Pelodiscus sinensis: one gene and its partner. Each later gene encodes a partner of the first gene's protein in a complex. Links are inferred from orthologs where the notes say so. Each region holds a gene or a part of one and is shown on either strand. Other genes may lie near its edges.

What was found.
Region 2: the proteins of PPP2R5C (region 1) and PPME1 are in contact, whole or in part, in a cryo-EM structure (PDB 7SOY), measured with the Homo sapiens proteins. The link is inferred for Pelodiscus sinensis from reciprocal best matches to the Homo sapiens genes PPP2R5C and PPME1. Residues at the interface, in NP_002710.2 of Homo sapiens: Asp180, His187, Arg188, Tyr190, Gly191, Leu194, Arg197, Ser230, Ile231, Gly234, Phe235, Ala236, Lys240, His243, Asp313, Gln341, Tyr348, Glu353, Tyr354, Glu399; in NP_057231.1 of Homo sapiens: Arg37, Lys38, Arg39, Asn192, Lys217, Val251, Glu252, Gly253, Ile254, Ile255, Glu256, Glu257, Pro345, Gln346.

What each region holds. Positions count from the first base shown.
Region 1 is NC_134714.1:22,623,762-22,630,966, reverse strand, and holds the start of PPP2R5C (serine/threonine-protein phosphatase 2A 56 kDa regulatory subunit gamma isoform), read left to right. Parts: upstream 1-4,189; 5' UTR 4,190-4,339; coding exon 4,340-4,366; intron 4,367-6,890; coding exon 6,891-6,956; intron 6,957-7,205.
Region 2 is NC_134711.1:322,164,624-322,172,099, forward strand, and holds the start of PPME1 (protein phosphatase methylesterase 1), read left to right. Parts: upstream 1-4,475; 5' UTR 4,476-4,654; coding exon 4,655-4,752; intron 4,753-7,476. Other genes in the region: C2CD3 (C2 domain-containing protein 3), read right to left, coding at 326-595, 4,183-4,252. UniProt on the Homo sapiens protein: Demethylates proteins that have been reversibly carboxymethylated. Demethylates PPP2CB (in vitro) and PPP2CA. Binding to PPP2CA displaces the manganese ion and inactivates the enzyme.

The DNA of each region.
Region 1 (7,205 bases):
AGACGTGGTCTCCTCACTTCAAAAAAGATATTTTGGCCTTGGAAAGGGTTCAGAAAAGGGCAACTAAAATTATTAGGGGTTTGGAACGGGTCCCATATGAGGAGAGGTTAAAGCGACTGGAACTTTTCAGTTTAGAAAAGAGGAGACTGAGGGGGGATACGATAGAGGTATATAAAATCATGAGTGGTGTGGAGAGGGCCGATAAAGAAAAGTTAATTATTAGTTCCCTAAATAGAAGAACTAGAAGACACCAAATAAAATTAATGGGTAGCAGGTTTAAAACTAATAAAAGAAAGTTCTTCTTCATACAGCGTATAGTCAACCTGTGGAACTCCTTGCCAGAGGAGGCTGTGAAGGCTAGGACTATAACAGAGTTTAAAGAGAAGCTAGATAATTTCCTGGAGGTTAGGTCCATAAAAGGCTATTAGCCAGGGGATAAAATGGTGTCCTTGGCCTCTGTTTGTCAGAGGCTGAAGAGGGATGGCAGGAGACAAATTGCTTGTTCATTGTCTTCGGCCCACCCTCTCTGGGGCACCTGGTGCTGGCCACTGTCGGCAGAGAGGATACTGGGCTAGATGGACCTTTGGTCTGACCCAGTACAGTCGTTCTTATGTTCTTATGAAGTTCTATGGTCTTTTTATGCAGGTGGTCACAATGGTTCCATCTGGTCTTAAAATCTATGAATCTATCTTATCATTTATAACAATCCAGTTGCACTGATATGTTTTATGATTAGTGCAGTTCTGAAATTAGGCTATTGTTGATTTCCTCTAGGAGAGTTTGATTTGTAGATAGCTCTGAATAAATTACTGTTTAACCTTTACAGCACAGCAGACCATGTCAGCAGGACAGAGCCTTACTAGAGAATGGCTATAAATAAGATTTATAAATAGGATTCAGTGGGTGTTGGTACCCAGACATTAATTTAAGGATACACCCGAAGAATTATTGACCTCTAATTTGTTTAAGGGTAGTAAATCCATGCTGTTTGAGATACCTTCCCAAAAGCGGGTCATCTTTTTGGCAAAGTAGGATGATAATTCTTTGTAGTGCATGGTGCTGGGTTTTATTATGGGCTCTAGATGCTCAGCATTGATAAAGTGGTTTAGCACTCTTGATCACTTTTTAGGGACAGGATATGGCAGCTTCAACTGAAGCATAAGTTTAGAGAAATTTTTTGTTCAAAGTATCTGTTTCAGCTTTATATTTTTGGTGATTGAGTTGATCCTTTCTTCATTTGGAACTGCACGATAGAAATCCAAGGAGATCTGAGTGCATGATGAGAGGGAATGGTCGGTTTGAGGTTCAATGTGTGCTAGCATGCAATGATAATTATTCACCAGAACCTCTAATCCTTGATGAGTGGGCGGATTGCTGCTATGATTTTGCATGCACTTACATCACATCTTTACTTAAATCTGTGAAGCTTCTGGGGATAGGCAAGTCCTAAGAAAAGGGATTTAAAAAAAATAATGGAATGCCCAGTAAAGATGGGCAGGACTAGATGAGCAAACTTGCTTCCTCGGTAGCATACTGAACATTCTAGTCCAATATCAACTCATTCTTAAATTTCAGTAATTTATAACAGCTAGATTTTGATGCATTATTTTGCAAGTTTAAACTATTTACTATGTATATTCTAATAAATGGTGTTGTTTGTACTGTTTAGGAAGCATTCAGAATGTGGATTGGAGGTGAAGGCACAAGAGTTAACTGCAGCAACTTGTAATTCAGTAATCCGTTGTGGCTTTCAGAAACATCTAGTTTATACTGGGCATGCTCAGACATTAACATAGCTATACTAGTGTAGTCATATATTAAAATTAAATAAACTTTTTTGCATAGTCACTCCCATACTGATAGCAAAATACTTGCTCTCATAGTGATTTATTAGTACAATTAGAAATAGTTTCATTTTAGATTTATTATTGGATCTGGACTTCTAATAATACTCCGGTCATCTGAAGTGAGCTGTGCTCATGAAAGCTCATGATACCATCTACATGTTTTGTTTGTTAGTCTTTAAGGTGCTAGTAGTCTATTTGTTGTTTTTTAAGTTTTTCATTTTAATGTTATGGTGAATATATAAATCAACTGTTTGGTCTCACAGTTCAGGAAGTCACTAGAACAAATAGAATTTATCTTTTATCAACCACCTCAGCCCACTGATTATTGCACACACACTATACTAGATCTGGAAAAATCGAGTCACTTAACTGTTACTAGTGAATGAGATGCTTTCTATAACAAGTAGAACAAGAGGGAAGATGAGACTTTCCACAAAATAAAGGTTTCTAGCCTGGTGGTCACAAAGACAACCTTCCAAATTTTAATGGATGCTCTGCCATCTTTTTGACTTTGCATGCTACAAAATGTGAAATTGCTATTAGGAATCCCAGCAACTAGAATTGAGGTCTGAGCTTCTGTTGCCTGTGGTACTCAGTCTTTGGGAGTGAGTAAAGGTCTTTAAACCTTTCATACTGCCTCTGGCTTCTAAGCATCTAGTACATTTTACTAACCCTTGATAGCAGTACTATAATGACAGATGAATAAGCACTGTCATTCCAGGTTTACAGACATGTTCTGACATTATTCTGTGGGTTAAACTTTCTTCTACTTTTTCTCAGCCAACAGAACATCTGACAAAATTCTAGTTGGATATTTTACAACACGTTCTTCCCATCCATTCATACAGCTGAAACTTGTTTACATTTTCCTCTTGCATCTTGGTTATTACAACGCTTGTCTCTCTGGCCTTGACTCATTTCCATTCAGTTTTATACTACAAAGACCCTTTTCTTAGCCTCACCCTTTTTTCTCTTAACACCTTAGTACTTTCTCCCATGCTTCTCCATAAATATCTGTAAAGTTACCACGATTCCCCCTCAAAATTGTCCTTCAAATTCTTTTTCTATAAAGCCAACAAAAAAATTTACAACAAGACTGATATGCTTTCTTGTACTCCTTATCTGTACCTGTTGTCTTTGTTTTATGCATTAATTGTAAGCTCATTGGAGAAGGAATCATCTTTTTGTTCTGTAGCTTTAACATATCTCACACAATTAAGTCCAGTCTTTGAGCAGAGCTCCTAAGCACTATGGTAATACAATAATTTTAAGATAAACAAGAAAAGATGTTCACTTGTTGAGGATTTGTATTAAAATTATTTGTTTCTATTTCGTTCGGATGGTTCTTTTATATTTCACTTGGATGGATCAAAAAGTAGTTCATTTTCAAACTATAATCTTTGCAGGGAGGTGGGGCTAACAGAATAATGCACGTTTCATCCAACATAAAAGCTCCACTGAAAGAGAAAAGATAATAAATTTAATAGCTTCAGAGGGGTAGCCAAGTTAGTCTGTAACAGGAAAAACTTAAAAAACAACAAATAGTCTAGTAGTACCTTAGAGATTAACAAAACATGTAGATGGTATCATGAGCTTTTGTGGGCACAACCTACTTTTTCAGGTTGTGCCCACAAAAGCTCATGATACCATCAACATGTTTTGTTAGTCTTTAAGGAGCTACTAGACAATTTGTTTTTTAAGATGTAATACATTTAATATAGGCTATCGCCCATGCAGCGTGCACCTTCTCCTCATGGGTTAACTGTGATCACATGCTGGGGTATCTAAGCCCGAGAGACGCTGAGCATCTTCAGCCTCTATGATGATCAATAGGGGAGCCGGTCTTAGGCCGCCTTCTGCTGAAGTCAATATCCAAGTCTGGAAAAACGGAGCCCACAGCAGCCCTCCCGTGAGCAACTGAATCCTCAGCCTATCTCCAGGCGTTGCGCGAAGCTGGGCGAGCGCGGGCTGTGCTTCTGGCCAAGGGCATTACGTGAGCCCCAAAGACAGGCCCATCGGGCGATGTCTGCGTCCCGGGGAAACGGCTCTGCCTGAGGCGCTGGCTACGGCTTTAGTCCGGGGCTCCCCCTCCTTCCGGGCTGGGCCGGAGAAGCGACTCTGCCCCGGGCCCTGCGAGGGGGGCTGCTCTGTCTGAGCCGCGGGAGCAGGAGAGATGCGGGAAGGCGCGAGGCTGGGGCGACCCCGCTAGGAGGCCGCTCCACAGGCACGACCAACTCCCCCAGCCGCCGCCGGGATAGAGACGACCCCGCCCCCTGGCTCACAGAGGGGAGGGGGGGACGTCGGCCCCACGTGACGGGGGACAGCCAATGCCGAGGCGGCGTCCCGGCTCGGCCGGGCGGAGCTAAGGCTGCTGCCGCCGCCGCCGCCGCTGGGAGCCTGAGAGGGGGAAGCGCCTGAGCGGGGCGGGGGAGTCGGAGCGAGGACCCCAGGAGGCTGCGCCGCTCCCGGCCCGGGCGCCCAACTGACCGGCCATGCCGAATAAAAACAAGAAGGAGAAGGCGAGTCAGCCCGGCTGGGGCGCGGAGGGCCCGGGGCCAGGCCCCTGCGGGAGAGGGGCCGTGGGGAGAGCCGCTGAGGGGCGGCGAGCGCCGGGAGAGCTGGGCAGGTCCTGGCCGCGGGGGAGACAGGCGGGCGCTCAGGCGGCGGGGCGGGCTGCCGAGGGACTCCGGGGTGCTCCCTGTGGGAGGCGGCGAGGAACGGGGAAACTCTCCCCGTGGGTGGGCGGTGGGCCTAGCCCAGCCGCTGCTGCCTCTTTTCGCCCAGTTCCTGGGGCCCGACTCACTCCTATTGGGGAGGGGAGAGACTGGGGTTCGTGGCGGAGAGGCAGAGGGGATTTATTGGGGGCGTGAAAGGGTAATGGCTTGGGGCGAGAGTAACGGGAGGTGGCTTTTATCGAGTGTACGTAGGAGTGAGAGGCGAGCTATTAATTTTGGGTCAAGGTGGGTATCTCTGCTTTGTGTGGGAAGGGGTATTTTTAAAGCGGGGCAGGTCTCTGGGGGAGGGGAGGTTATTCTTAAGGTTGGCATCAGTGCATTTTCCTGAGTCTCTTTACTCTGTTGCTTTAATTTCCATATCCCATTGCTTGAAACTGCATTCATAGATCCATCTCCTCCCCAGTGTGATAAAACTGGTCCCGTTTTACAAACAGGGCAACTGAGGCAAAGATGTAGTGACTTGCTTTACATGGCAAAGCAGCCCAACCAGAGCTTTTACCTCAAAAGGGGAGTTGTTCTCAAGAGTCCATGAAGTCCATTGGAGACTTCGTTGTTGCTGTTGATTTTACATGGAAGCTGCTTACATACTGAGATCAGGACAAGTGGGAGTAGAGGGATATAATAGTCAATTAACTAATAGGCAAAAGCTTATTGGTTAATGCTATCAACTACATGCATTTAAATGCAGAGCCGCAATGAGGGACCTACTCCCACTGCGACTCTGCAGTTTAAATGTAATAAGAGTGGGGTGGGCAAGCAGACAGCCTGGCTCTTAATACATTTAAACTGAAAAGCCATAGTGGGAGTAGGTCCCATACCTGGCGAGAGCAGGGGCTGGGCTGGGCTGTCTGCCCACCTGGCTCTTACTACATTTAAACTGCAGAGCCACAGCAGAAGTAGCTCCCATACCCAGCCTGAGCTGGGAGCTTTAACCTCCCTTATCCGTTAATTGTGTAGTTGATAAAAATTCAATCAACTGCATGATTAGTGAATTACCCGCTTCTGTTTGGTGTTAAAGCCAGGAGTGGAACTGAGCTCTTGACTCCCATTCTGTGCCTGTTCCACTACATAGCTCTCTCTACATCTTTGATTTCAGGCAAACCCTTTAAGCAATTTCACATCAGTTCAGTATCATTTGCTTGTGGATTTATCTGTCTTATGATGTTGTTGTTTTTTGTGCCTTAAAATACAAATGCTGCATTGATCCAAAAAATTGTAGACCATTAATGTTTGTATTCCTTTTATTTCCTTTATCATGTAGTGAGAGAAATAGGAGGTGTTAAATGTAGATAAAGCGTTGGATTAAAAACAACTTAAAGTGCAGTCACAGCAGTGTTTTAAATTGAAAGTGTGGCCATGGCATAAATGCTGGGAGAGCTCTTTTTTAGCGCTCTGTTAACCACCTCTGTGAGAAGAGTAAGCTAACAGTGCAGGGAGCACAGCTCCAGGTGCTGTATCACACTGGTGCATTACAGTGCTCTAACTTGCTGTGCTCAGAGGGGTGTGTGTGTGTGTGGTTTTTTTTTCCTCTCCCCCTCCCCACCTCTGAGACAGAAATTTATAGCACTGTAAAGTGCCAGTGTAGATTTGGTCTCATTCATATTGAGGAGAAACTCTTGGGTTACAGATAGGGATGTGAACAACTAGTTGCTTCTCCCCTCCCCCCATTGCTGCCTCTGTCAGAGTCCCCAGCTGACCCTGGGCTCCGTGCGGTGGTTCCACTTTGAAATGCTGCAGGGAACATGGGCCAGTGGGGGATGGCTAATCGCAATTTGCATCAAATATTCATCAATTATTCGATTTGCCAATTAATCAGAATTTTACATTCCTAGTAATAGACCCAGTTTTAACATTGGGTTTTTAGCTGCTGTTGCAGTTACGTAGATGGAAACATCTGTATAGGCATGGTACAGTGCTGTATACCATGGCTTGGTCTAGAACAGGTTACCCTGGATTCAGAGCTACACTAAAGGCTAAAAATAAAGGGTAGATCAAGGCTGATTTACTGTGCCTTTGTGCATACCGTTTGCACTCTGCCTTAGTTTTCTTAAGCAATTTTCATGAATTAATCTTATGGGTATGTTGTGAGGAATAACTACTGTTTTTAAAGTATTTTGAAGGTGTGAGAATTTGTACAATTTCTAAGACTGAAATTGTAATTGTATAATTACATTTCTAGGCTTTAATCTTCTGTAATGCATATTTTCATGCAGATCTCTGGTCAATCAGTTACTTGACTGAAAAAGTATTTGATTCTGTTTGAAATTAAGCTTGATGCTGGAAAAACTTACAAATGTTTAATTTTCAGGAACCTGCAAAATTGGGCAAAAGTGGAAAAAGTGGTAAAGATGGACAAGATAACCAAGAACATGAGGTAATTATTGTCATAGCATCTGGTCTACTCAACTATTCTCACAAAGAACACTTTTCAAGAGTATAATCTTTCCCACATTGATATAACTTAGATGGTAGCTGTTTGGTTTTTTGGAAACCACTAGGACGACTTTGACAGAGAAAAGATGTTTTAAAAAGGTGCATACAACTTTTGAAAAGTGCTTGCAATGAAATGAAGCCAACTATGGTTGGTCCTTGATGTAGGGATGTAAGTGACTAGTCAACTATC
Region 2 (7,476 bases), on another chromosome or scaffold:
ATGACACCTATTTGTCTAGAAGACACAGGTCTCTCACTATGTCCTTTGAATCCTTTTTCCATGGTCAGTCTATAAGGATATTTAAGAACCATCAGTACTGTGCGATAGTTTTTAATTTTTATGGTTCTCCTGATGATTCAATGCCCTTTGAAATATGAAACATGAAACACACTACATAAAACCATATTCTAGATTCACTAACAATAAAATTAAGGGGTTATTTTTACACATGAACGCACTTTGCAATTACTGATGAAGTCTACTGAACAGATGTCATGATAGAAATTTCAACTGCAAAATTAATACAGAGCATACACTACTGTACCTGTCAGGTAAGATGCAAACTGTTTTGGTCCACAACGGATTGCATAGTGGGTGGTGGTTTTCACTGCTTTTTGCTCAGTCTGTGAAGTATTCCTGGGAATAAAAAGCGTGCCATCTGATGTTTCCCCCCACCACCTCACTCGGATGAGAACAGTAGCAGGCGGCTTAGAGACCATCCACAAGATTTTACTGACTGTTAACTTCAGAAAGCAGCGCAACTGGCCTTCAACAAGAGGTGGTAAACTTGTAGAAGGGGAGATATCACTGATTCCTGCAGAGATACAAAAAAGAAACAGTATTACTTCTCAAAAACATAAATGCAGTTAACATATTCGAGATACAGATCACTTTATAGAGTTAAAAAAATACTTGGTGTTTCTAATATTCTATGCCACACTTAGGGTTACCCTATAGATGCATATAACATTACAGCCTACAACATGGCTACTCAACGCACGGCCCATAATATCAGCGGCCTGCAGCCTGTCTGTTTGCTGCCTGCGTTGTGGTTTGGGTTTACATGGGGCTCAACACGTGGCTTGCGGGTGGGATCTTTTGAACCTGGCCTCCACTGGGAACACGCTCCACAACGGCGAGTCAATATAATGATCTTCTGTTGATATACATTTTAGTAGTTAAATTCCTGGACTGTCATTGCTCATTAAGGGCATGTCTACACTGCAACACTATTTGGAAATAACTAGCACTATTCTGAAATAACTTAGTCCATGTCTACACAGCAGGCAGTTATTTCGAAATAGTGTCAAAATACTGTCAAGCTAGAGGGTTTCTTACTCCGACTCCTGGAGTGAGGGAAGTTGGAGGAAGAGCACTGTATTTCAAAATAAGTGCTGTGTAGATGCTCCCTATTTCAAAATAAGATTCACAATTGATGTAGCATAATTTGCGTAGCTTATTCGAGTTAAGCCGTGCAGTATAGATGCACCCTAAAAGTGCTGTCATATGGGTGGTAATTGGGTAAATATTGCATTTTATTAATATCAACAGATCTGACTTAAATGGGGCCTAAGTGTTGTGTAATCTTGCCTTAATCTTTGTATTCATGCCCATCAGTGTGAAAGAAGCTATTTGCATGTATATACAACCACACTTCAGTTGCAGCCCTCAACATGTACTGTAAGTATCATTATGGGCCCCAGGGCTTCCAAAATTGAGTAGCTCTGGCCTAACAACATATGTACATGGCAAGTTTTTGGCATTACTGTAACACACCTCATGTTCACATCAGGGATGTAAGGGACTAAACAACTTGCTTCCCCCCTCCCCTTGCTGCCTCTGTGTCAAGGTCTGCAATGAGGGGGAAGCAGAAGCCGGTGTGAGGGGAGGAGGAGGGGAGGCAGAGCCACAGGGGTTCCAAAGCCAGGAGTGCAGAGCGACAGCAGAGGTAGCGAGCCCCACCACGCCTTTATCAGCTAATCAAGTAGCTGATTATCCGCAATTTAACATCCGTAGTTCACATACAAAATATATTGCAACATATATATACTGCTTAGTGAGGAGGGAGAAGCAGTAACAGGAAACTTGGAAATGGCAGAGATGCTCAATGACTTCTTTGTTTCGGTCTTCACCGAGAAGTCTGGAAGTGTGCCTAACATAGTGAATACAAGCAGAGAGGGTAAGTTTAGAAGATAGGATACACAAAGAACAAGTTAAAAATCACTTAGGAAAGTTAGATGTCAGCAAGTCACCAGGTCCTGATGAAATGCATCCCAGGATACTCAAGGAGCTGATAGAGGAGGTATCTGAGCCTTTAGCTATGATTTTTGAAAAATCATGGCAGACAGGGGAGATTCCAGAAGACTGGAAAAGGGCAAATATTGTGCCCATCTATAAAAAGGGGAATAAGAACAACCCAGGAAACTACAGACCAGTCAGTTTAACTCTGTCCCAGGGAAGATAATGGAGCAGGTAATTAAAGAAATCATATACAAACACTTGGAAGGTAATAAAGTGATAGGGAATAGCCAGCATGGGTTTGTGAAGAACAAGTCATGCCAAACTAATCTGATAGCTTTCTTTGATAGGATAACGAGCCTTGTGGATAAGGGAGAAGCGGTGGATGTCATATACCTAGACTTTAGTAAGGCATTTGATACGGTCTCGCATGATATTCTTATTGATAAACTTGGCAAATATAACTTAGATAGGGCCACGATAAGGTGGGTGCATAATTGGCTGGATAACCGTAGTCAGAGAGTTGTTGTTAACAGTTCTAAATCCCGCTGGAAAAGGATAACAAGTGGAGTTCCTCAAGGGTCTGTTTTGGGACCCGTACTGTTCAATATCTTCATCAATGATGTAGATATTCAGATAGAGAGTACGCTTATTAAGTTTGCAGATGATACCAAACTGGGTGGGGTTGCAACTTCTTTGGATGATAGGGACATAATTCAAAATGTCCTTAGCAAGTTAGAGAAATGGTCAGAGGTAAACAGGATGAGGTTTAATAAAGAGAAATGCAAAGTGCTCCACTTAGGAAGGAACAATCAGTTCCATACATACAAGACGGGAAGTGACTGTCTAGGAAGGAGCATGGCGGAAAGGGATCTAGGGGTCATAGTGGACCACAAGTTGAATATGAGTCAACAGTGTGATGCTGTTGCAAAAAAAGCAAATATTATTCTAGGTTGTATCAACAGGTGTGTTGTAAGCAAAACTTGTGAAGTCATTCTGCCGCTCTACTCTGCACTAATTAGGCTTCAGCTGGAGTACTGCGTCCAGTTCTGGGCGCCACATTTCAAGAAAGATGTGGAGAAATTGGAAAGGGTACAGAGAAGAGCGACAAGAATGATTAAAGGTTTAGAGAACATGACCTATGAAGCCAGGCTTCATGAACTGGGCTTGTTTAGTTTGGAAAAAAGAAGATTAAGGGGGGACATGATAGCAGTTTTCAAATATCTAAAAGGGTGTCACAAGGAGGAAGGAGAAAATTTGTTCCTCTTGGTTTCTGAGGACAGGACAAGGAGTAATGAGCTTAAAGTGCAGCAAGGGAGGTTTAGATTGGACATTAGGAAAAAATTCCTAACTGTCAGGGTGATCAAATATTGGAATAAATTGCCAAGGGAGGTGGTGGAATCTCCCTCTCTGGAGATATTTAAGAACAGGTTAGATAGACATCTGTCAGGGATGGTGTAGACGGAGCTTGGTCCTGCCTTGAGGGCGGGGGGCTGGACTCGATGACCTCTCGAGGTCCCTTCCAGTCCTATTATTCTATGAATACACATTCACACCACCGCTGAGACTGTGACTGCAAAACCAACCCTAAGCCACAATGAAAATCGGAAAGTGGTGATGTTACAACTTGTCTGCCCAGCACCACTCTGCAACACGCCCCCCTACCCTTCAGTGAAAGGCCTCCTAGGGCGATTGATGGACAAACTGCAGATCTCTTCTACATCTCCACGCCTATAGCCTCTCCCGACTCCAATGTGCCCTCGGGGTACGTGTTGCGCCAGCAGTGTTACTCCCTATTGCCGATATGGTTGTAAGTACCCACCAAGACCCATATGGCAACTCCCAGCCCTCTGCGGCACCGCAAGGGCACACCCCACATTATAATCCACACAGGCCGCCATGTACCTGCCACCCCCCACAGAGCGCCAAGGTGCTGGCCCCCAGAATCGCGACCCTCCACAGCGCGCAGGGTGCTGCCCCCCCTTCAGATGCCCATCAGAAGATCTGCCCTCTCCTACGGGGCCCGGAGCACCCACCACTACGTGACCGGCGCCACCCACTGCTCGGGGGCCCGCTGCGCCCCGGGGCACCGCCTCCCCGGCTACCGCCCCCGGCCCCGGGGGCCACCCCCCGGCAGCTGCTGCCCCCGCGCAGGGTTCTGACCTCTCCTCTTGCGGGCGGCCCCGCCGCCTCCCACCCTGGGAGCGGGGCCCTTGGGCCTCTTCTGCTTCATCCCCACCCCCCAGCCGCTCCCCCGCGCCAGGCGCGGCCCGCAGCTACCGCCGCTGCCCGGCAACCGCCGCCGCCGCCGCCTCAGCCCGCCGCGGGGCCCGCTGGGACAGGGCGGGAGAGTCTCCGAGCCGCAAGCAGAGCCGCGCAAGCGCACAGCCCAGCGGTAAGAACAACAATCCCCAGGGGGCGCTGCGGCCCCGCTTCCGGCTAAAGAAGATCGCGCGAGGACGGGCACTTCCGGCAGGGGAGGCGCTCCCCGGCATGAGCCCTACCCGGGGGCGGACTCCGTTTCCCGTGGTGCAGTGGGGCGTGGCAGCAGGCACTTCCGGCGCCGGTGGGTGGGGGTAGCCGCTGCTGGCTCGGCGGGGTGATACCTGCCCTTGTGTCTCGGCGTCTTCCCATCATGTCGACCCTGGAGAAACATCTGCACCTGGGCCGCCTGCCCCCACGGCCCGCTGTGCCCGGCGGGGGCGGCCAGTCGGGATCCAAGATGCGCATGGGGTAGGTGGGGGAGCGGGCAGGCGGCGCTGGCCCCCCCGGCGGGGAGGGTCCCTGTCCGGGGCTGGCAGAGCCGGCTGGAGACGGGGGCGGGCTGAGTCTAGGTCACTGATCCCGGGGCGGGAGGGGCGGGGGTTGGGGGGAGACGGGCATTTTACCACTGGGAAGTTGGAGACCAGCAGAGGAGGCGGGGGCGCCTGTTGCGGGGGGATGGGCAGAGGGGGCGGGGGTTGCTGGGGGGATGGACAGAGGAGGCGGGGGAGCCTGTTGGGCGGGGGTTGCTGGGGGGATGAGCAGAGGAGGCGGGGGAGCCTGTTGGGCGGGGGTTGCTGGGGGGATGGGCAGAGGAGGCGGGGGAGCCTGTTGGGCGGGGGTTGCTGGGGGGATGGGCAGAGGAGGCGGGGGAGCCTGTTGGGCGGGGGTTGCTGGGGGGATGGGCAGAGGAGGCGGGGGAGCCTGTTGGGCGAGGGTTGCTGAGGGGATGGGCAGAGGAGGCGGGGGCGCCTGTTGCGAGGGTTGCTGGGGGGATGGGCAGAGGAGGCGGGGGCGCCTGTTGGGCGGGGGTTGTTGGGGGGATGGGAAGAGGAGGCAGGGGAGCCTGTTGCGGTGGGCGGAGGGGGTGGGCAGAGGAGGCGAGGGGTGCCTCTTGTGGTGGGGTGGGCAGAGGAGCTTTACATTTTGGAACCTTATGTCCTCGTGTTGCAAGTCTTTTTTAATTTGCTGGTTGGGGCCTTTTTTAACAGGGCGACAGGCACACAGACTTTAATTTTGTACTTTGAGGGAGACTGGCCAAGGAGGTGAGGGTCTCTGTTGTGGGGTGAGGAGAGAGTTGTTGCAGGTGGGAGGATGCTGGTTGTGCAGCGGTAATGGGGATTGGCAGAAGGAGGCGAAGATATCCCTTGTAGGGTGGATAGGGATTGACAGGACAGGCAAGGGTGCCAGTTGTGTGCAAGGGGACATTTGGGACATTTACATCAGGTATGGGAGAGGAATTTAACATATTAACTTGAGATGTGTTTCAGCAGATTGAACAGTTTCACTAGAGGGTAACTTGACACTAATAATTATAATAGTTTTTGTTGGAAATTCAGTCTTGAATAAGGATATTCACAAATGTCTATGAGATGTTTATGGACCTGGCTTATCAGGCCATCTGCCTGTTGACATGAAGAAAATTAGATGAACCAGTACTACTGTGTGAAGCTGGGTGGTAGTTGAACTCTGCCAGGCAAGTAAGTCCTTGCTGAGCAATCTGCCACCCGGGATAGCACAATGCAGAGCAAACAGGTATCAGCTTTATAAACAAATTTAAATGTATTAGTAGGGGACTGTGCCCCCAGGCACCAAGGAGGGCTGGGCTGCTGCCATGCCAGCCCAGGTCCCTTCGCCCTTCTCCCCTTCCTTCCCCCACCGGCCTGGGTCACTTCTCCCTCCCCCAACTCTAACCCTCCCTCTCCTGGCCGCATGGTGTGCTAGGCCCAGCTGTAGTCCCAGCAGCTGGGGAGGTGCAGGATTGGCTGCCTGCCCTGCGTGGGGCATAGTGAAGCATAGGTAGTGCCGTGTGCACACGAAGCTCCGGGGCACTGCAGCCTCTTATGGTGGGGCAAGCTGCCACAGGTGGGCTGCTGTTCCGACCTCTCCCCTGTGTGGTCCTGCCTGTGCTGCTCACTGTCCCACCCCTGCCTGAAGAGCCCAGGGCTGCGTAGGTACCCGCCGGGAGCAGAAAGGAGGAGCAGACAGGTTTGTGTGGTGGCTCGGGGGGTGCTCTGACAGCTGCGGTAAGTGCAGCTGCTGGGGAGGGGGTAAGTCTCTGTGGGGCATCTGGAGTTCAGGCAGTCAGGCACCTTACTCGGGCTCCCCAAGAGCCTGGGGGCAGGGAGACCCTCGAGCCTGCTTCTGGCACTCAAGCCTGACTGGGAGCCCCTCTCCTAATGCTTGTCCCTGGCTGCTGTCTCTCTTCTCTCTCCACCCGCGACCCCCCCCCCCCCCGGACCTGGGCTGTCATGGCTGCCATGTGGGGTCTGCTGGCTACTGTGCCATGTTTCTTGGCATTGAAAGCCCTGTGGGGTGAGGGTGGAGAAAGGGGAGTAGGGGCTTGGTTTAAAATAGCAATTCCAAGTGGCATGGGGAAGCAGTGAGGTCGGGCTCAAGCTGGGATATGGGGGAGAGAGGGAGGAGGCAGGCTGGGCACAGAGTGACATGATGATGTCAGTCTGTCGTCCTGCAGGAAAAGCTTTTTAATATAGAGACAGAGATGAGAGCTAAGCCCTAGTCAACACTTAAAATTTAGAGCAGCCTTGCTCCATGACTCATGGAGATGAAAAATTTATTCCCAAGTGCTATGGTTCAGCTAGATGCAGTTAGCTCAACAGAATTCTTCTGTCAGCTTAGCTCGATTACCTATGTGAATTGAAAAACCTTTCATTGACACTGGAAGTGTCTACCCTATGGAGCTGCAGCTCTGCTGCTGTAGTGTAGATGTGCCCTGAGAGAGAAAGAGTGGCTAATGTTTTTTGTGAGGCTCTTCCAGATGGAGGAGAGATGAAAGAAAGGAAATGGTTAGGAAAGACTCTTGGCAGGAGCATAGTAATAGAGATGGTAAAAGGGAGATGATAGGCTGGAATTAAGGGCACTTTTAAATGTGAGAGGAAAAATCTTGAGCTTTTATATGGAAGAAAAGGAGGTGTCCAAGTTAAGGACATGCTTATAACATTCTGAGAGGAATGT